2 linked regions of the Ovis aries genome follow. The protein of the gene in region 2 purifies or fractionates together with the protein of the main gene of each other region. This does not show direct contact. Links are inferred from orthologs where the notes say so. Each region holds a gene or a part of one and is shown on either strand. Other genes may lie near its edges.

Region 1 (11,054 bases), on a different chromosome or scaffold from region 2:
CATTAATCAGAGATGGACACAGAAGGGAAAACAGTGATAACAGCAGATAGAACAGCTGGCCCCTCCAAAGTTCTGGGAAGGTCGGCACTGCCGATGATCAGCTCAACGGGCTGGCGAGCCTCTCTCCTCACCGCACGCCTTCACCCTTCTGAGAGGTCCCGCTGCACAGCCATTGGCCTGGTTCTTACCTTAACCCAGACCAGCTCTGGGAGCCCATCTGTTACCGCTGACATTAGGCCCTACTCACCAGAGCCCAAGCCTGACACCTCACACAGCCACCCTGGGTCACTCCCCATCACTGAACTAGACTCTGGCCGATAGAGCACAGCTTTCTGTGCTTAAATCCCTGCCCACTGCATTGTTTACTGTGTTATTGCTGCTTCCTCAAACGGAAGCTTTTGAGAATAGAAATGGTATCTCTTTCAAGTTCCACAGTCTCCACAATAAGAACTCAGCAGATTCTGGACCACTGATCAAAAGGAATGATGTTAGTACCAGAGGGTCGTGGTGTTCCAAACTCAAGTCAAGGTAGGCTTTTTTTTTTTTTTTAATGGAGGAAACTGCTTTTTGATGTTGTGTTGGTTTCTGCCATACAGAGACGTGAATCAGTCATAGGTATACATATGTCCCCCCACTCTCGAACCTCCCTACCACCTCCCACCTCATCCTCTAGGTTATCACAGAGCACAGGTTTGAGCTCCCTGTGTTAAAGAGCAAATGCCCACTGGCCATCTGTTTTATATATGGTGATGTGCATGTTTCAAAGCGGCTCTCTCAGCCTGTCCCACTCTTTCCCATTCCCAAGTGTCCACAAGTCCGTTGTCTGTGTCTCCGATTCTCCCCTGCAAACAGGTTCATCAATACCATTTTTCAAGATTCCATATATACATGTATCAGTTCAGTTCAGTGGCTCAGTCGCGTCCGACTCTTTGCGACCCCATGAATCGACTGCAGCACACCAGGCCTCCCTGTCCATCACCATCTCTCGGAGTTCACTCAAACTCACGTTCATCAAGTATATATGCATTAATATATCAATGTCTGTTTTTCTCTCTGACTTACTTTGCTCTGTATAATAGGCTCTAGGTTCATTCACCTCACTCAGTTCAGTTCAGTTCAGTCGCTCAGTCGTGTCCGACTCTTTGCGACCCCATGAATCTCAGCACGCCAGGCCTCCCTGTCCATCACCAACTCCCGGAGTTCACTCAGACTCTCGTCCATCAAGTCAGTGGTGCCATCCAGCCATCTCATCCTCTGTCGTCCCCTTCTCCTCCTGCCCCCAATCCCTCCCAGCATCAGAGTCTTTTCCAATGAGTCAACTCTTCGCATGAGGTGGCCAAAATACTGGAGTTTCAGCTTTAGCATCATTCCTTCCAAAGGAATCTCAGGGCTGATCTCCTTCAGAACGGACTGGTTGGATCTCCTTGCAGTCCAAGGGACTCTCAAGAGTCTTCTCCAAAACCACAGTTCAAAAGCATCAATTCTTTGGTGCTCAGCTTTCTTCACAGTCCAACTCTCACATCCATACATGACCACAGGAAAAACCATAGCCTTGACTAGATGGACCTTTGTTGACAAAGTAATGTCTCTGCTTTTTAACATGCTATCTAGGTTGGTCAAAACTTTTCTTCCAAGGAGTGTCTTTTAATTTCATGGCTGCAGTCACCATCTGCAGTGATTTTGGAGCCCAAAAAGATAAAGTCTGACACTGTTTCCACTGTTTCCCCATCTATTTCCCAAGAAGTGATGGGACCAGATGCCATGATCTTAGTTTTCTGAATGTTGAGCTTTAGGCCAACTTTTTCACTCTCCACTTTCACTTTCATCAAGAGGCTTTTAGCTCCTCTTCACTTTCTGCCATAAGGGTGGTATCATCTGCATATCTGAGGTTATTGATATTTCTCCCGGCAATCTGGATTCCAGCTTGTGCTTCTTCCAGTCCAGCGTTTCTCATGATGTACTCTGCATAGAAATTAAATAAGCAGGGTGACAATATACAGCCTTGACGTATTCCTTTTCCTATTTGGAACCAGTCTGTTGTTCCATGTCCAGTTCTAACTGTTGCTTCCTGACCTGCATACAGATTTCTCAAGAGGCAGGTTAGGTGGTCTGGTATTCCTATCTCTTTCAGAATTTTCCACAGTTGATTGTGATCCACACAGTCAAAGGCTTTGGCATAGTCAAGAAAGCAGAAATAGATGTTTTTCTGGAACTCTCTTGCTTTTTCCATGATCCAGCAGATGTTGGCAATTTGATCTCTGGTTCCTCTGCCTTTTCTAAAACCAGCTTGAACATCAGGGAGTTCATGGTTCATGTATTGCTAAAGCCTGGCTTGGAGAATTTTGAGCATTACTTTACTAGCGTGTGAGATGAGTACAATTGTGCAGTAGTTTGAGCATTCTTTGGCATTGCCTTTCTTTGGAATTGTAATGAAAACTGACCTTTTCCAGTCCTGTGGCCACTGCTGAGTTTTCCAAGTTTGCTGGCATATTGAGAGCAGCACTTTCACAGCATCATCTTTCAGGATTTGAAATAGCTCAACTGGAATTCCATCACCTCCACTAGCTTTGTTCGTAGTGATGCTTCCTAAGGTCCACTTGACTTCACATTCCAGGATGTCTGGCTCTAGGTGAGTGATCACACCATCGTGATTATCTTGGTCATGAAGATCTTTTTTGTACAGTTCTTCTGTGTACTGAACTGACTAAATTGTGTTACAGGTAGGTAATACGCTCTGAAGGAGCATTTACCAAGTAGCAATTAAGAAAGGTTGGTATACAGGAACTGCTATAAATTTGTTTTTATTTATCTCACTACAAACAGTAGTTTTGAGTTACCTAGCTACAAGTATTAGTTATCAAATATTAGTGATAAATGCAATTCATCACATTTTTTTCTTGAGAGATGTTCTCCCCAAGCTCCTTTTAAAGAGAGTCTTGAAAACTGACTAAGAAACAGAATTTGCTGTCAGCTAATTCACCCACTGAGAAGCTGGTCTGTAGCTCTTCTGGTTTTGTTTAGAAACTTTGTGCAATTCCTTTTCTGCCTCATAAGAATGATATAAAAGTAAATGGTTTATAGTACAGTTTAATAATCTCTTATCTTCTGAGAAATGTATCCATAAAAAAAGTCAGGCAAGATATACCTTAGGGCAGTGATTCTCGACTAGGAGTGACTTTGTTATCCCCAAGGGGACATTTGACAAGAGTTGGAGACATTTTTGGTTGTCTTGGGGAAGGGGGTGAGGGGGTGGGGATGATACTGACGTCTGGTAAGTGAGACAGTAATGAACACGACAGACTCTACAAAAAAGAAAAAATGGCAAACACTTCATTAAATAAAATATCCTGGTGGCTCAGACGGTAAAGAGTCTGCCTGCAGTTCAGGAGACCCAGGTTCAGTCCCTGTGTTGGGAAGATTCCCTGGAAAAGGAAATGGCATCCCACTCCAGTACTCTTGCCTGGAAAATTCCATAGATAGGGGAGCCTGGTGGGCTACAATCCATGGGGTCACAAAGAGTCGGACACAACTGAGCGACTTCACTTTCACTTTTTCACTTGATAAATACTATTTTTTTTCTAGACACCAATAAAGTGCATACACACTGGATTTTAAAATCCCACGATTATACATCCCCTGGGAATGGGGAAGGAACAGTTGTAAGTAGACATCTGGCATCCATTAGGCCTGATGTTACGATACAAGACTGTTAAGAAATTCTAATAGCAAATAAGCTCTGTTTCTCAGCAGAAGGGATAGGACAGATCTGACCCTCTGCTATAAACCACTCTTAACCACATCAAGACACTATTTTATCTTCTGGTACATCACCTGGTAACAATTTAACAGTAAAATATGTTACTAATAGACAACTTCAACCTTTAAAAAAATTAAGCATTCTCTGCCAAACAAATGTATTTTGATACAAATTGTGATCCAGCTCAGATCAAGCCTCTATCTTCATTTTTCTCACAAACTAAGTAAAGAATTCCCATCACTAAACATTCCCGTTTATTGTCTGGGGGAATGAAGGAGAGTGTTACATGTTGACGGAAAACAAACAAAATTCTGTAAAGCAATTATCCTTCAAGTAAAAATAAATTTAAGAAAAGAGGGAGGGGATGTATGTATACATATAGCTGATTCACTTGGTTGTACAGCAGAGACTAACACAACATTGAGCAATTATACTCCAGTAAAAAATTGTTTAAAAAAAATTTTTATGACTGAACCTCCCCCCAACACACCCACACAGTGACCAAACAGTCAGAGGTAGCAAACAAAAACCCCTTAGAATTTATTGCAAAAAAGTATAATCAATGCAAAGAATCAAGGCAAAGGATTGTTTTCCTGCAAGTTACCCAGCTACTTTACAATTCCCAAAGCTGCCTAAGGGTGAAGTCGCACTGGCTCTTTTCACTTGTCTGTTCACTGCCACTCGCCCCCCACCCCCACCCCCGACCCCTACCCCAGCCCCTCGCAGGAGTCCAATACTGCGCCTCATCCTTAAATATCACTGGGCGCCTTCTAGGTGAACAGCGGGTGACTGGGCGTGGATGGTGGAGTGGCACCGGCTCCAATTAGGAATCCACTCCAGGAATAAGAAGTCGCACGACCCTGGTCCTAGATGAAGACCTGGCCTATGCAAACTCAAGATAAAAAGGACCTTCAAAAGTCCTCCCGTAGTTGCGCCCTCAACTCCACGTGCGACTTTGCTCCCCACTAAGTGCGAAGCGGGGCTCTCCCACCTGCCCGCGCAGGTTCCCGGGAAGCGGCTCCCGCCCCAAGAGGGCGCGCCGCGGGCTGCGAGACTGGCTCACCTGGCCGCAGCACCTATGCACCTCCGGTCGCCCCCAGGTGTTCGCACACGGAGGTGCAGCCTCCGGTGACAACGCGGGCGCACAGACTCAGGGGTACAAACTCGGGGTCCGCTCCCAGGTGTGCACTCAGGCAGCGCACACACAGAGGGAGGCAGAGACACAGGCGTGCGGATGAGGGGAGTGCTCCCAGGTGTGCAGAGCCCGGTGCTCCCGCGCGGGTGAGCACACTCAGGTGTGCACGCGGAGTCGTGCGCAGATCAATCCCGCCACACAAGGGAAGTCTCGGCAGGGAGCCCCTCAAGCCCCGGTGGGCATCCTGCCTGCATCAACTCACCTCCTCCAAAAATTTGGTCAAATCGTACACTTTGTAGTGCAGGATCAGCCAGGTGCTCTTGCTGTGGTTGTGCTTCTGGATCTCTTCCAGGGTGTAGTACTTAACGGGTTTGCTGGACTCCTCGGCCATTTCTTAACGCAGCGAACTTAAGGCCCTAAAAGCAGCAGAAGAGCGGGACGGAGAAGAGCGGGCGTCTCTGCGAACTCGCCCTGGGACATTCCCAGCTGCCGGGCTCGGCTCCTGGGGAGGAATGTCCTCACGGAGGAGGGGAGTGGCCGAAGTACGGCCTCCGACGATTGGCCAGAATTCCTGTCGCTCAAGGGCCCCGCCCCCGCCCGACACTCTCCACCAACCCGGTGGGCCCCGCCCAGTGAGCGGGTGTTGATTGGCTGCAGAAGATGCCCTTCACAATCACAGCTTAGGAGAGCGCGGGGGGCGGGGTTTCCCCGCGTCTGCTCCGAAGGCGGTGGCGCCGGGGTCTGGGCGTCCGGGATCGCGTGGACCAGGCGGGGTGACCCGCGCAGAGTCCACCTTGTGCAGGGCAGCGACCCCACATCAAAATCGCCGCGGTTTCCCAATCCGGTCAGACCTGGGCGTTCGTTAATTTGTAACAGAGTCCTTCCGCAGCGAGTGTAGGGGCCTCAGACATGCAGAGCAACCTGGTGGACGTCGCCGGACGAGTGTGCTGCCCGGAGGACTGCTTGACCCATCCCCTCCCGTCCCAGAACTGCCCCATTCTCTCAGGAGAAAAACAAAACAAAACCCGGGAACTGTTCCAAAAAAGCAAAAGCGGCCTCAAGTGTAGGTTCTGAGGACGTCGGTGGCTCTGAAGTTACTCTGTCTTCACCCCTGACTAGGCGAGTACTTGTATTAGTGTCTTCTGTCTTTTCTCACCAGTATATTGTTTAAGGTAAATTCCAAATGATTGATAGCTCTTGGAACAGAGTCTGGAGCAGTACCTCCCCAGCTGAGCATCCATAGGAAGATTTACAAATGTTCTATTTTAAAAGGCGGGGGAGAGAATTCCAGCACGTAAAAAAAAAAAAAAAAAAATTAGTCTGATTTTTGCTAAGGCCTTTTTCAGCAATGGTATTTACTTCCAAAAAGAACGACACAATGGATTACACATGTAGGTCATCCTCCAGGAAACAGCACAGTTCTTTCCACTCGCTGCTGCTAGTGTTGGTTTCCTACCCCCTTGCTTACCTCCTCCGTAGGAATGCAAGGCCAAGAAGACAAGTTCCCAAACATTCCAAATACTCTTTATCCATTTCACATGATGGAATGCTTTGGTTTTCAAATACTGCACCAGCCTTGCATCTCTGGAATAAGCCCTACTTGCTTATGATATGTAATTCTTTTTTTTTTTTTCCAATGTGCTTTTTAAATTATAAAGGAGGCAGAAATATACAATGGAGAAAAGACAGTCTGTTTACAACTGGTGCTGGGAAAACTGGTCAACCACCTGTAAAAGAATGAAACTAGAACACTTCCTAACACCACACACAAAAATAAACTCAAAATGGATTAAAGATCTAAACGTAAGACCAGAAACTATAAAACTTAGAGGAAAACATAGGCAGAACACTCTCTGACATAAATCACAGCAATATCCTCTATGATCCACCTCCCAGAATAATGGAAATAAAAACAAAAATAAATAAATGGAACTTAATTAAACTTACAAGCTTTTGCACAACAAAGGAAACTACAAGCAAGGTGAAAAGGCAGCCTTCAGAATGGGAGAAAATAATAGCAAAGCAACTGACAATTAATCTCCAAAATATACAAGCAACACATGCAGCTCAATACCGGAAAAATAAATGACCCAATCAAAAATTGGGCCAAAGAACTAAACAGACATTTCTCCAAAGAAGACATACAGATGGCTAACAAACACATGAAAAGATGCTCAACATCATTCGTTATCAGAGTAATGCAAATCAAAACCACAATGAGGTACCATCTCACGCTAGTCAGAATGACTGCCATCAAAGAGTCTACAAACAATAAATGCTGGAGAGGGTGTGGAGAAAAGGGGACCCTCTTACACTGTTGGTGGGAATGCAAACTAGTACAGCCATTATGAAGAACAGTGTGGAGATTCCTTAAATAAAAAAAACAATAGAACTGCCATATGACCCAGCAGTACCACTGCTAGGCATACACATCAAGGAAACCAGAATTGAAAGAGACATATGTACCCCAGTGTTCACTGCAGCACTTTACAATAGCTAGGACACAGAAGCAACCTAGGTGTCCATTGGCAGACAAATGGATAAGGAAGTTGTGGTACATATACATAATGGAATATTACTCATCTATTAAAAAAGAATGCATTTGAGTCAGGTCTAATGAGGTGGATGAAACTGGAGCCTTATTATACAGAGTGAAGTAAGTCAGAAAGAGAAACAGCAATACAGTATATTAACACATATATATGGAATTTAGAAAGACAGTAATAATGACCCTATATGCAAGACAGCAAGAGAGACACAGATGTAAAGAACAGACTTTTGGACTATGCAGGAGAAGGCAAAGGTGGGACGATAAGAGAGAATGGTATTGAGACATGTATATTACCGTATGTAAAATAGATGACCAGTACAAATTCAACGCATGGTGCAGGGCACCCAAATCCGGTGCTCTGGGACAACCCAGACGGATGGGGTGGGGAGGGATGTGGAGGAGGGTTCAGGATGGTGGAACACATGGACACCCAGGGTTGATTCATGTCGATGTATGGCAAAACCCACCATATATTGTAAGTAATTAGCCTCCAATTAAAATAAATAATTTAAAATAATAAATTTTTAAAAAGTATAGTTAATTTACAATGTTGTTGGTTTACTGATTTGTTTTAAAGAGCTCACTTCTGGCCTCTGATTTTCTCCACTGTTTTTCTTTTTTTGGTCACTAATTTCTGCTCCTTATTGAGTCTTTCCTTCTGCTTGCTTTGGGTTTCTTTTTTTTCCTAGTTTCTTGAGGTGGGAGTTTAGATTATTGAATTGGGATTTTTCTTCTTTTCAAATACATGCATTTAGTGTTATAATTGTCCAAATGTTTTAAAAACAGTAAATCAGGTTATGTATACCAGTACCCTAACAGTTCCCAGGTCTGCTGAATCTCCGCATGACTCTGGCAGAGCAGTGTGTCAGTGACGACTGCCTCTATAATCCAATGTCAAGACTGTTTCAGATTTCAGTGCCAGTTCTGAATAACTCCAGAAGTGGTTAAAACAAAACTTTGGTGCCCGTGACCTGGATCCTATTCCTGGTTTAGTAACCTATCAGATGCATGACTATGACCTAATCAGTTAACTCTCTAAGCCATTGCTTATAAAATGTTTAGCCAGGGTCTGGCACAAAAAGAGCAATCAACAGATTTTAGCAAATGCTATTATCAAACAAGACTTCCTTACTTTAAAACACTGGTATAAGGAAACATCCTACATGGCAAGTGCTCCAAGGTGAAGCGTGTGCCAAGTCACTTCAGTCGTGTCCAACTCTGTGCGACCCCATGGACTGCAATCCCCAGCTCCTCTGTTCATAGGATTCTCCAGGCAAGAACTGGAGTGGGATATCATTTCCATCTCCACCAAGGTGAAGTAAATTTAGGCAAACTTAGAAACAAATCTAAGAAATTAAAAGGAATTCAGATATTTACAAACTTCCTGATGTTCCCTCCAGCAAAGAAATTTTAATAAACATTTAGAAAACCAACTCTACTCCTGAAGTTCCTCAGGTGAAATATACTGTAGAAAGCACTCACTCTTCTACTAAAAAGCCAAAATAAGCAAACATCATTACGTTTTTTATTCCTTTTCTAATTCCTCCTGCCACTCATGCACAAGACACACTTCAGCAGCTCTTTACTTCCCATTGACAAATCATTATATTTGCTATAACCATAGAAACCAGGCTCCCTTGACAAATGGGCACTCTACAAAGATGGACTCCAACTCAAATTATCTACATGGATAATTTGCATTAAACCCGTGTCTTTTAAATACGTTCAATTCAGTCACTCAGTTGACTCAGTGTCTGACTCTTTTTGACCCCATGAATCGCAGCACGCCAGGCCTCCCCGTCCATCACCATCTCCCGGAGTTCACTCAGACTCACGTCCATCAAGTCAGTGATGCCATCCAGCCATCTCATCCTCTGTCGTCCCCTTCTCCTCCTGCCCTCAATCCCTCCCAGCATCACAGTCTTTTCCAATGAGTCAGCTCTTGGCATGAGGTGGCCAAAGTACTGGAGCTTCAGCTTCAGCATCATTCCCTCCAAAGAAATCCCAGGGTTGATCTCCTTCAGAATGGACTGGTTGGGTCTCCTTGCAGTCCAAGGGACTCTCAAGAGTCTTCTCCAACACCACAGTTTAAAAGCATCAATTCTTCGGTGCCTAGCTTTCTTCACAGTCCAACTCTCACATCCATACATGACCACTGGAATTTAGCATAGGTTAACTGTTCCCTTCTAAAAATATCTATTTCTTTAGTATACATATCCTATGTAGTTGATTTCCAAACAACTCCCCATCTGTTGGCAATAATTTCCAAAGCTTACTAAATTTTTAAAATTTTCATTCATTTTAAAATGGACTTGAAGTTGTTTTTACCCATGTATATTTATAACACACCAGAATGTCAGCTGATAATCTCTAATCAATTGACTATCAGAGGCAGAAATGAGGAGCAGAGAGCAACAGATATCATCTGATCACAAAGAATACAAATGTCGTATGTTCACTGCTGAGGTAGAGCAACTGTCCTCAGTAACTTCAGACAAGTCAAGCTAATTATATGCAGGAAAGTTTATTATACATACATTCTTAGGCATATTTCCTTGTATATATTCCTACATATTTCCTTGTATTTAATATGTCCATCTTTAAACAGGAGCAGGTAAATAAAAAGATTAAATGTTTGATTGTACATGATTGCAATATTAAATTTATTTTTAAAATCTTTTTGTCTCCAGCACAAGTAAATAGAACAGAGTAAAATAGTATAGATAAGGAAAATTCCAGATATGCTATTTAACTTTGTAGAAATTCAGGGTTCTAAACAGTTTTATGAAATACAGCTGATGGTGTTATCATCATCAGGTCTGCAAGTCAGAAGACTGGGAATCATAGAGGTCAGTCTCCTCTTTATCCCTACTACCACTGCCCCAGGTTTGTCTTTCAGGATTAGCTGCCTATCTGTTTACAGTAACTACCTTACATGTTCTTCCAGCCTTTAGTCTTGAACTTCTCAGACCCATCTTCCATCAATAATGAACCACAAATTAAAATCTGATCACATCACTACTTGTCTGTATCAGTATCAGTTGCTCAGTTGTTTCTGACTTTTTGCAATCCCAAGGACTGTTGCTTGCCAGGCTTCTCTGCCCATGGGATTTTTCAGGCAAGAATACTGGAGTGGGTTGTCATTCCCATCTCCAGGGGGATCTTTCCAACCTAGGGATCAAACCCGGGTCTCCTGCATTGCAGGCAGATTCTTTACCATCTGAGACTACTTGTCTAATACCTTCCAATGTCTCTCAATAACTCAAGTTCAAATTCCTTGCCAAGAATTTGAAGATCATCCAAGATCATTCAAAATCTGCTTCCTCTCTCTAGCTTCCTCCTTTGACCTTTCCCCCTCAAGCCCCATGGCCTAGCAACGGTGAGCTATTTTAGATCTCCCACATGTAGCATTCTTTGCTCTCTTTCACATCCTTGCTCAAGCCCTGTCCTCTGCCGCTTACCGTAAGTTTACCTCTTACCCCTTATTCTCCCTACCTCCTTTATCCTGGCCAATGACTCAGGACCCTTTTTGACTCAGCTTAGGAGTCAACTGTGGTTGAGGCATGTGCTGACCACACGCTTCCCCTCCAAGTAATGCTCTCTGCTCCTTT
Region 2 (11,022 bases):
GATTAGAATTAAGACAGCCCAGCCCAAGAATCCACAAACTCACCTTACTTCTGAGTAACCTCACAGTAAGTTTTCCCCAATACTCCTGGAAACCCTTGTCCCGAGCACAATGTCTTATTCCCTGCCAGGTAAGCACACTTGAGAATAGCCAAACCCTCACTCCATCAGAACCCCTGTGAACAGGAGGTAGCATGCCAGCCCTCAGGTTCCAATAGGTCTCACGCTCGTGTGATAGGTCTACACCAGGGAAGGCCCTGGGGACACGGTTGGTCTCAGTCCCATTTTGTGCCCTTTCTGCTCAGGACTGGACCCCATACACAAAAAGGCCCCATTCAGTTGTTCCCTTTTAAAGCTGGGCTCCAAAGGGCCTCTCCAGAGGAGGGAAAACACCCGTCACTTACTTCACTCTGTGTACAGAGAGCAAGGTGACAGTAGCACACATGCCCTAAAAGAACATGTGGCAGGCTATGGCAGAGCCACAGCGTGGTCTTCTGACCTTCCCGTCAGCCCTCTCCCATCTTCAATGCTGCCTCTGGAGAAACTGTGTGGTTCCCCGAACGTAGAAAGGGCCTCCAATTCAAGGCCACAGACTAGCCCATAGGTCCCTTCACACTCCCTCGCCCCTCCCCACTCACAAGGACAGCAGCAAGGAAAAGCCAGCAATGTAGAGGTTCCTCTGGGCACGGAAAAGCTTCATGTGGAAGTGCTCCACAGCCCCAGGGTTGTTCTGGAGGTTCACCTTCTCTGTCACATCATCATACTTTCGAATCTCACGAACAGCATCTGTGGCAGAGCAGAGATACAGGTGTTCAGCCCCGGATCAGTCCAGCTGAGATGCAAGGCGTGAGTCTGGGCAGCCTCGCTTTCCTCAAAACTATCTCCCCTGCTCTTCCCCTTCTACACACATCTTGATGGATGCCTTATCAGAAGTGCTGCCCTCCGACCTGTTCTCTCCTCCAGCTTTTCTCATGTCACCCTCTAGACCCATTCTACCCAGACCACAAGCTTGCTCTCCGTGTCAAGAAGCTCACCGAATCTGAGATGTCGCTGGCAACCAGGGCAACTCCCTTTGCCACGGTGCCCCCACTGTTTGGTTCTGTTTATCACAAACGGGGCTGGCCATCAGCCACCCAACTGATAAGCCAGGCGAGTCCTGTTTATGGAAATGCCCACAAGGGAAGCATGAGCTGCCTAGGAGTCAAGACCTGGAGGATGCCTGCTAAAGATTCAAAGGTTTTCATTTCTAAGTGTCTAAGCTTTATAACTGGTTACTTAAACTGGTGTATTCTGCTTACAAAAAAAAAATTCATGCTCATCAATGTTCAATGTAGGAGAAAGAAGCCCATAACATAATCAATCACCTCCAGTAGAACCTACTTCATGTGGCCAGCTTAAATAAAGCAATCATTTCCAGTCCCATTAATCAATGTCATACACACACCTAAAATTAATGTTCATGTCCCCCAAATTAGACTACAGCGCCACAAGAACAGAAACCTTTCCTATTACATCCTTAAGGCCTAACAGAGTTCTAAGCTGTTACAGGGGGAGCACAAACACCTGAACAGTGAACAACCTCTGCTCTAAAAAACCATTACTGGCCACTCATATATATATATATATATATATATACTCACATCTGTGTGTTTACAGGCTAGAAATGGAACGATCCCATACCTACTACTTTTCTCCCTCAACCCTGCTATCTCTTTTTTCTCAATTGAAGTACACTGATTTGTAACATTATATAAGTCCATTACTTCTATTTCTGTATCCCCTACAACGTGCTTTAAAAAAAATATGGAATGCTTCATGAGTTTGTTTGCCATCCTTATGCAGGGGACATGCTAATCATCTGTCTCATTTCAATTTTAGGATATGTGCTGCTGAAATGAACATCTGAGACATCTTTTTAAATCATTATGTAAAGATCTACCTAAAGAGTGCTCTTAATGGATCCCCATGGGAGAGGGGCAATGTAAGGCTACTATCTGGTTCTTAATTTCTGGTATGAGACTGCTTGTTTTTTAGGCTGATTTTACATCATAAAAACACACCTCCACTTACTGGTATCTTTGTGTTACATCCGTGGGCTTCCCAAGTGGCTCAACAGTAAGGAATCTGCCTGCCAATGCAGGAGACACAGGAAATGTATGTTCGATTCCTGGGTTGCAAAGATCCTCTGGAGGAGGAAATGGCAACCCACTCCAGTATTCTTGCCTGGAAAATCCCATGGACAGAGGAGCCTGGCACACTACAGTCCACAGGGTCGCAAAGAGTCAAACCGAACTGAGTGACTCAGCATACACACATGTGGGTTCCTGACCCCCAAAATTCCCATTTGGGCACCTTAACTCTCAACCAGATGATACTAGGAAGTAGGGCCTTTGGAAGATGAGCACAAAGCCCTCATGAGTGGGTTTAGTGCCGTTATAAAATAGACTCCAGAGGGCTCCCTTGTCCCTTCCTCCATGTGAGGACACGGCCAACACAGAAAATGACTGTGGAAACATAACACAGACTGTTAAAATAGTTACCTGTGAGACATGGGTTTATGGGAACCTTTAACTTTGTAAGTTAAATTCACAAATTTCTAAAGCTGTGCTATTTTTGTGATTTAAACAAAAAACATGTTTTCCCACACTGTCTTCTGCAGCCAGAGACCCCAGCACCTCAAGGTCCACCTTGACTAATGGCAAAGAGCCAACCAGGGATCGGGGCATTGGGCCAAACTAGCTCAAGTCATACAGCAGAGGGCTACCCTCTCTATCTCAGGCCTCCAGCCCACGGCAGTTGACCCTGAACTCTCATTAAGCCCACTCCCCCAGTGAGATGTGCCCTAGATCCCTTCCCAGGGATGGCTAGGGGCCAGCCAGGGCTGCAGCTTCTAGCTAGTTATGCTATGTCGCTAGCATTTGCTACTAGCTAACAACTTACTCTGACTCATTGGAAAAGACACTGATGCTGGGAGGGACTGGGGGCAGGAGGAGAAGGGGATGACAGAGGATGAGATGGCTGGATGGCATCACCGACTCAATGGACATGAGTTTGAGTAAACTCCGGGAGTTGGTGATGGACAGGGAGGCCTGGTGTGCTGCGATTCATGTCGCAAAGAGTCGGACACGACTGAGTGACTGAACTGAACAACTTATTTAGGCAGACCTCTACAGATTACATTAGGATACGAAGCAGCCTTTTATCATAGCAGGATGTCGCTCTAGAACATCCAGGCAGTTCCCTGACTCCTCAAAAAGAAAAACGGCACTTTTGCCAACTACCACCTTCTGCAAAGGGCCTCTCCCACCCAATCTGCCATACCAGGAGAATTCGTGGAATCTGGTGTGCAGAAGGGCAAAGCTCTAAGTGAACACCCCCCAGCATGGTCCCTCCCCACCCCAACTCTTACCCCCAGCCCACACCTAAAAGCAAAAGCACACACACCCAGTTCATAAACCCTGCAGCCTACTGAGACCAAGGTCAGGACAGGTCCATTAGCCTCTCTTGGTTTCAGCTCTGGAAGGACCCAAGGAGCTGCCTGAGACACAAGATGGTCAGCACCAGGGGCATAAAGGCTGCTGGTCAAAGCAAAGACCCTGCCAGCAGTCAGTAGCAGGGATGCTGACGTCTTTGTGGATGAAGGGAGCTTTTCTTCCCCCAAGAGAAAGACAGGCGCACTAAATGGTCTGTCTCTGAGAAGTCAAAGCTGTACTCTAATCATGGAACATGGCACATGGCACAGGGCTTTGTAGCAGAGGCCATGGCAAAAGGTCTAAGTCAGATAGCTACCATCAGCCACAACTCACTCACCAATGACCAGTAGCACAAGGATGACAATGAGAACCACAAAGAAGGTGTTGCCATATGTCACTACCAACTCCACAAGGCGGGACTTGAAAATCTTCTGCCATCTGTGAAAAAGACAAAAAGGCTAAGGTCAGTAGAGTAAGAACACACACCTGGGATCCAGGGCCCTGAAAACAGATACAGTTTTGCACTCTTCTTCAAAGACTGAATATCTCATACAGATTCAGCCTCAGCTGCTTGCAATTTTCCAACTTATGACATCTGTTCAACAGTGTTAAAAAGAAAAAAAAAAAGACACCTGTCCAAGTATAGAAATTTCTAGAAAAAGTCTTAAACACTGGTAGGCTCTGGGGAGAGAAATGCGAAACTTAGCGTCCCCTCTGTAGTATCAAAATGCTTGCCAAATCCACATTATTTCTTTAAACTGTTTTCCCATGTGCCCAATCTTGGCTCATCTAGACTCCCACCACCCCCGATTACCATGAAGCAGACCCCAGACCTCCCTACCTTTCCCTCCATAAATACTTCAGCATACAGCTCCGTCAAAGAAGACCCTTCAGAAATGGCTACCAATCGCAATGCCACCGTCAAGCCTCAAAAATATCAAGAAAAATCTCTCATCATCAGAGCCAGAACTCCAAAGTCCAACTGAGGCAATTATTTTTAACAATTGGTCTGTTTGAATCCTGACAAGGTTCTGATTTTGCATTCTGTTAATAAGTACCTTCAGTTCAGTCGCTCAGTCGTGTCCGACTCTTTGCGACCCCATGAATCACAGCACACCAGGCCTTATTCTACGAACTCCCCCCTCCCTTGCTCTCTGATTTCTCCCCTAATTCACTGTTGCAGAAACCAGGCTGTTTGTCCTGCAAAGCTTTCCATGTAGCAGCTCCAAGTGGGCCACTGTCTCTGCATTTCCTGTGAACTGTATGAGGTGATTCAGATCTAGCTTTTGTAAAGAACATTCCTTAAGCAGTGCTGTACACTTTCTATCACAACAGCAGCCTGTGATTTTTCATTAAAAAGAAGCTTCTATGAAAACATCTGTAAGTCTTATTTGTAATGTTCTAACTTAAGATCAGATGTGTTCCTATAGTATATGTAATCAAGATGAATTTCAAAATAACTTTTCAGAAGTCCTCTGTTCACTGAAAAGAAACATGGCTTCGGCCTTCCTAGGCTGAGTAATGCTCATGAGGCCACTTCGCAACCCCAGCGAGACTGGTTAGGAGGACAGAAGTCACCAAATCAACGGTAACATGACCCAGAGGCAAGTCTTGCAGATCTCACAATGCCATCTCCTAAACACCCGGAGGGCATCGTTTCCAGAATGGTCACTTGGTCTTGTCCCCTCTGGCACACTCTGAAGACCAGAAGACAGGGTGCAGGGGAAAGGACCTAGTCAAGATGTGACTGAGCACAACTGTGGGCCTAGCTGGCGATAATAAACACAGTCCTTGCCACCCCCATCCCAGACAGGTTCTACCTGTTTCCGGCTGGCTTCAACTCTAAGGCCCCCCAACTCTGCAGGCACAAGCTACCGAGACTCTTCCTGGCTTGCCTGCCCATACCTTTTGGGAGAAATGAAGGGAATGCAGAGCAGCAGCACAGCGAAGACCTCTGCATAGAGGAAGGTGGCGACTGCGGTCCACTGCAGACTCATCGTGTTGCTAGCAGCTTTCCACCGGGATGATGTGAGCCTGTTCCTGATGGAGCACAGAACAAACAGGCGTCGTGACAGCTCGGCAGCCACCAGCCCTAGACCTCAGAGCATTCCCAGCCCTCGAGCCCCGCAGCCTGGCTGCCAATACCTCCAGAGACACTTTTCCAAACAATTCCTCCCCGTGGAGTCCGGGAGACTCCGCCTGCGGAACCCTGGCAGCAGTGGGTGGGAATCGGCAGTTCAAGCTACCGCCCACCACACCGCAGCCTCGGTCCTAGTAATGCCTTTGCGCTTCCTCCCAACCTGCGATGCCTCTGGGCCCTTCCACCCGGGCCGACAGAGGAGTAGCGAGCAGCTCCTCCCAGGGCAGGAGCGGAACGCAAAAGCCTCCCAACCACCGCCCCTTCGGCTCAGCTTTCAGTATCTCCGAGAGCCCCCGAGAGCGACTCCTAGAGGACGAGAGTTGGAGCCAAGGGCAAGAGCGGGTCTCAACCCAGCACCTCACGGCCCCGTCCAGAGAAAGTTCTAGAAGACTGTCTCCTCCAAAGCCGGAGAAACCCCTCCCGGCCTCCCAGGTCGGTCGCGGCGCCTACCCGGCTCCAGAAGACCCCTCGACGAGGCCCCGACCCGGCACGCCCTCTCAAGCCCCACCCCGCCGGCTCCTCCGGAGGGACTTCGACGTCGCCCCCTACCCTGGAGATGGCTCCACCCGCCGCCAGCCTGACTTCCCTCCGCCCGGTCCCGCCCCCGCACTCTAGCCTCGGCCCTGGCCCCGCGCACCGGGCCTCCCCGCGCCCCCTCGTCGAGGAGCCGGGGGACCTCGGCGGCCCGGAAGCCCAGCGCGGCGCGCGAGTCCGCTCACCGAGTTCTCCAGAGTCACCACGCACGCCCAGTCGTCGCCAAACTCTCCCACCACCAGCCCGGCCCCGCCCCTTCCCCGCGGCCGGAACCGGAAGCGCCCGGCCAGTCCCGGCCCGCCCCCAACCGCCACAAGGCCCCGGAGGCCCCGCCCCCGAACCGAGGCTCCCGACGTCTGGGACTGGGGAAGGAGCCACGCCTCGCGCGCGCGCGCGGAGAGACGGGTCCCCGGCCTTGGCGGGAAGGCGAGGTGCCGCTTCTCTAGCCCGCGCGGTCCTCCGGCGTCTCTGTGGTCCGGGGAGGGGGCGGGGCCCCACCGTGGGGCGAGAACGGGGTGGGGCGGCCCGTGCCTGGGCTCCGCCTCCCGCCCCTCCTCCGCCTCCTCCCCCTCCCCCGACTCGCCCCTGGGGAGGGGTGGGTGGGTAGGTGGGGATTCTGGGCGGGTGGCGGAGTCACAGTCGCTTCAGCCGGGCTGTGGAGCGGACGGACGCGGCCGGTATCCCAGGGAGGGGCGCTACCAGGGGAGGAGGAGTAGGAGGTGGAGAGAAAAAGACGCCCTCGGCCGGAGACCTCTAGAGGCTCTGACCCCAAGGGCCAAGGGACTGACAAGTTCCTCCACTTCGGCCGCCTGAAGAGGCCGTGACCCTGGAGGGCCCTGAGCCCACCCGCGCCAGGGGCCCCAGCGCCACCCGGGTGGCCTAAAGCGACAGTCTCAGGGACCACTGCGAGGTCTCCAGTTGCCTAGACAACGAGCCCGGGGTCAGAGCCACCACCCTTGCAGCCACCTGCCTCCTCTGCCGCCTCAGGCACCCGTCCCGGTCCCGTGAGTCCAGCCCAGGTGACATGACGGTGCTCTCTACCCCCAGAGCCTCGCGGGTGACCACGCTGAAGCGTACTGCCGTGGTCCTGGCCCTCATGGCCTATGGAGCCCACAAACTCTACCCTCTGGTGCGCCAGTGCCTGGCTCCGGCCAGGGGCCCTCAAGCGCCGGCGGTGGATGGGGAGCCCGCACCAGACGTCTCCGGTGCCCCCGTGGCCTCAGCGGCCAAGGCCGGTGTCAACCAGGTGTTCTTGCAGCGGCTCCTATGGCTCCTGCGGCTGCTATTCCCCAGGATCCTGTGCCGGGAGACGGGGCTGCTGGCGCTGCACTCGGCCGCCCTGGTGAGCCGGACTTTCCTGTCGGTGTACGTAGCCCGCCTGGACGGCCGGCTGGCCCGCTGCATCGTGCGCAAGGACCCTCAGGCCTTCAGCTGGCAGCTCGTGCAGTGGCTGCTCATCGCACTGCCTGCCACCTTCATCAACAGTGCCATCCGCTACCTGGAGGGCCAGTTGGCCCTGGCATTCCGCAGCCGGCTGGTGGCCCATGCCTACAGTCTCTACTTCTCCCAGCAGACCTACTACCGGGTCAGCAACATGGACGGGCGGCTTCGCAACCCAGACCAGTCCCTGACGGAGGACGTGGTGGCCTTCGCTGCCTCCGTGGCCCACCTCTACTCCAACCTGACCAAGCCGCTCCTGGACGTGGCTGTGACCACCTACACCCTGGTTCGAGCAGCCCGCTCCCGCGGGGCTGGCACAGCCTGGCCCTCGGCCATCGCTGGCCTCGTGGTCTTCCTCACGGCCAATGTGCTGCGAGCCTTCTCGCCCAAGTTCGGGGAGCTGGTGGCTGAGGAGGCGCGGCGCAAGGGAGAGCTGCGCTACATGCACTCCCGAGTGGTGGCCAACTCAGAGGAGATTGCCTTCTACGGGGGCCATGAGGTGGGGCTGCTCCTGGGGCCGGAAAGCGCGTGGCTGGGGGAGTCCGGGGCAGGAAGGCCTGGGGCTGCCTATGGCTGATGGCACAGGTGTGGGCTGGCCATGGGAGAGGGAGGCTGTGGACGACCAGGGCCGTGGGCAGCCCGGATCGGCACAGAAATGGAGAAGCAGGAAGGCTGGGTGGAGACTGTCCTGGGTCACTTCTGCTTCCTCTCCACCTCCCTTGTCCTGGCCTTAGGGCTGTGGACCCTAGTGATGGGAGACCCAAGAGCTCCCAGCCTGCCCCCTGCCTGCAGCCAACAGAGAAGGGGCTCCTGCCATCTGGGGGCAGGGATGACAGGATGCAGCCTGCTGTCTGGCCCCCTCCTATTCCCCCAGGCCCTTTGAAGCCCGGCGTCCGGCCGGGCAAGTGGGCATTATGGGCATGACTCAGCCCAAGCGGAGGTTAACAAGCAGCAGTGCTCGGTGTGTCGATCGGATCTCAGCGCTCCAGATCAAGCTTCTCCCCCCTCCGGAGCCCAAAGGCTGGCCTGGCTGCGGGCTTGGCTGCCTCCCCGAGGCCCCAGCCAGGGGTGCCGGGGCCCAAGCCGCCACTGCAGCAGGACGCACTTCCTGCCCTCCCAGCGGCCACCTTGCCCCCAGTGTGGCCGCCCTTCCGCCCAGGTCCCAGCCGTGCAGCTCCCCAGCAGGCTGGGTCAGCGGCCAGCCGGCTAGGGCCAGGAGCCGGGGCCTGGGAGAGGTTACTCCAGGCCAGTGCTCCGGCCCCTCCCCTCCTCCTGCCTGGGTTGCAGCTGCCTCCGGCTAGGTTCTCTGCGACTCTGGTTTCGGTTCCCCAGTGCTTCTGGGGGAGGGGTACAATGGCATCCAGCTCCTGAAGGCCCATGGATCCTCCCTAGGTCAGATGGCCTTGTGTCCTCGACCTTGTCTCATTGGCAGCCCATCTTATCAGGCAGGGAGGCAGGCTTGTCCCTGATTTTTTTTTTTTTTTAAGACTTATCCCTGAGCAGATAGGGGCATTCCCGGCTGGGCTCCAGATAAGGAGAAAAAGGGCCGGATCTGCAGCCGCAACCCCCGTCCTCCTCCCCTGTGCTCCAGGGACGCAGGGTCTTGGCAGGCAGCCGTGGCCCTGGGTGAGGCACTTGGCACATTCCCCGCAGCTACATTGTCAGCCCCAGCTGGCACTCTTGCCAGCTCCCAGCACGAGCCTGGATCGCCAGGGCGCTCAGAGTAGACGTGCTCACTTCAGGAACGGCAGAGCGATGCCCAAGACCTAGCTGGGGACAGGGGAGGTGGGAAGAAGGGAGAATCACTAGCTCTTTGAAGGATTTCCTCTGGGTTAGTTTCAGGAAATAGCATGTACTTGGGGCAGATTCACCAGCTGGGGTGGGAGGGGCCTGATGTACGTCCCCAACCTGTCTGTCAAGGCCTCGGGCAAAGGGCTGTGTGATGTGATGGGCCTTCATGGGTGGCTTGATTGCCCTCACTGTGCGGGCACGTGGCTCAGCCCAGTCCCATTGGCTGATGTCCCCATGGACACTGGCCCAGGCTCAGATCAGCAGGCTGGGGCAGAGGTAGCTGGCTGACTGGAGGGCAGACCGCCGAGTATTTTGCTATTCCTGGGATGTCAAGGAGAAGGGTTATTGCTGCTGCTGCTGCTGCTAAGTCACTTCAGTTGTATTCGACTCTGTGCGATCCCATAGATGGCAGCCTACCAGGCTCCTCTGTCCCTGGGATTCTCCAGGCAAGAATACTGGAGTGGGTTGCCATTTCCTTCTCCAGTGCATGAAAGTGAAAAGTGAAATGAAGTTACTCAGTCGTGTCCAACTCTTGGCGACCCCATGGACTGTAGGTAGGCTCCTCAATCCATGGGATTTTCCAGGCAGGCATACTGGAGTGGGTTGCCATTTCCTTCTCCACAGAAGGGTTATTACACGGGCTCATACCAACACATCCAACCTCTTATTAGCCTGAGCACGGGTAGACTTTCTTAATAAGTCAAAGCATCGTTCACAAGAATTGGCTTTGTTTAATGGCTCAGCCTACCTGGTCCAAATGCCATATGTCTTGCCACCTCCAGGCTGTGTGAACTGGAGCAGGTCACTTTGCCTGTCTGGGCTACCACAGACAGGAGAATACACATACAATGGGACGTGGTGAGAATCAAGTCAAGAGTCAGCTATAACATGGTGAATTGGCAAAGGAAACTATTCCAGGCTGGGCAGCTCTTGTCCGTTGGGTAGGGAGACAGGATCAGAGCAGGCGCCCCTACCAAGCCATCCAGGACCCAATGGCCACCTTGCTGCGACTGCTTCTTGGCCACTCCAGCCCATCTAACTGCTGCTGTCCCAGAGAGCCTGTTTCTCGCCCACTCTCTCCTGAGATGGCAAGTGGTGGCCAGTGCACAAGCAAGCAGGGCAGGTCCCCTCGTGGCCTGGCTGGCGGGCTGGCGTCCTCAGCTGGCTTGGGTGTGGGGCTGTCCACTGGGGGTGATGCCTGAACGAGCTTGCTTGGGAGTGTGCCCTGCCGATCACAATGGGAGGACACAGTGCAAGTTTATCACCCAGAGGAACTGTGGGAAAGGAAAGGGAGGCCAGGGCCTATGGAGGTAGAGATGACCGGAGCACGTTCTTTGAAACCAGCTATTGCCTTTGTGTTTCCTGCACTCCCCTCCGCTTCATTCAGGGTGACCCCTCCGCAGTTGCTCAAAGAAATGGGCAAGGTGGCTGCCCTCAGCCCGTGTTGAAAAACTCTCTGGGGCAGAAAGGGGGCACGGTGAACATCCCAACTGAAGAGACAGTGGAAAAGGGGTGGGAGCCTCAGAAATGAGGGGGTGAGCCCCTTCACTGCCGTTGTACCCCAGCTCTGCATTGTCTATGCCATACCTCCCCTGAGTTTGAGACCTGTCCCCCGTCCATGGTAACCCAGACAGGGAAAGTGACCTG

Evidence for each region.
Region 1: the proteins of BCAP31 (region 2) and CYB5A purify together in Homo sapiens (co-immunoprecipitation; 4 studies listed by BioGRID and IntAct, with this or other methods). This does not show direct contact. The link is inferred for Ovis aries from reciprocal best matches to the Homo sapiens genes BCAP31 and CYB5A.

What each region holds. Positions count from the first base shown.
Region 1 is NC_056076.1:4,327,300-4,338,353, reverse strand, and holds the start of CYB5A (cytochrome b5), read right to left. Parts: upstream 5,284-11,054; coding exon 5,155-5,283; intron 1-5,154.
Region 2 is NC_056080.1:80,541,241-80,552,262, reverse strand, and holds the start of BCAP31 (B-cell receptor-associated protein 31), read right to left. Parts: upstream 6,375-11,022; 5' UTR 6,160-6,374; exon of another isoform or gene 6,061-6,159; intron 5,860-6,060; exon of another isoform or gene 5,616-5,859; intron 5,511-5,615; 5' UTR 5,468-5,510; coding exon 5,376-5,467; intron 3,909-5,375; coding exon 3,808-3,908; intron 1,898-3,807; exon of another isoform or gene 1,795-1,897; intron 784-1,794; coding exon 636-783; intron 1-635. Other genes in the region: ABCD1 (ATP-binding cassette sub-family D member 1), read left to right, coding at 7,169-8,083. UniProt on the Homo sapiens protein: Functions as a chaperone protein. Is one of the most abundant endoplasmic reticulum (ER) proteins.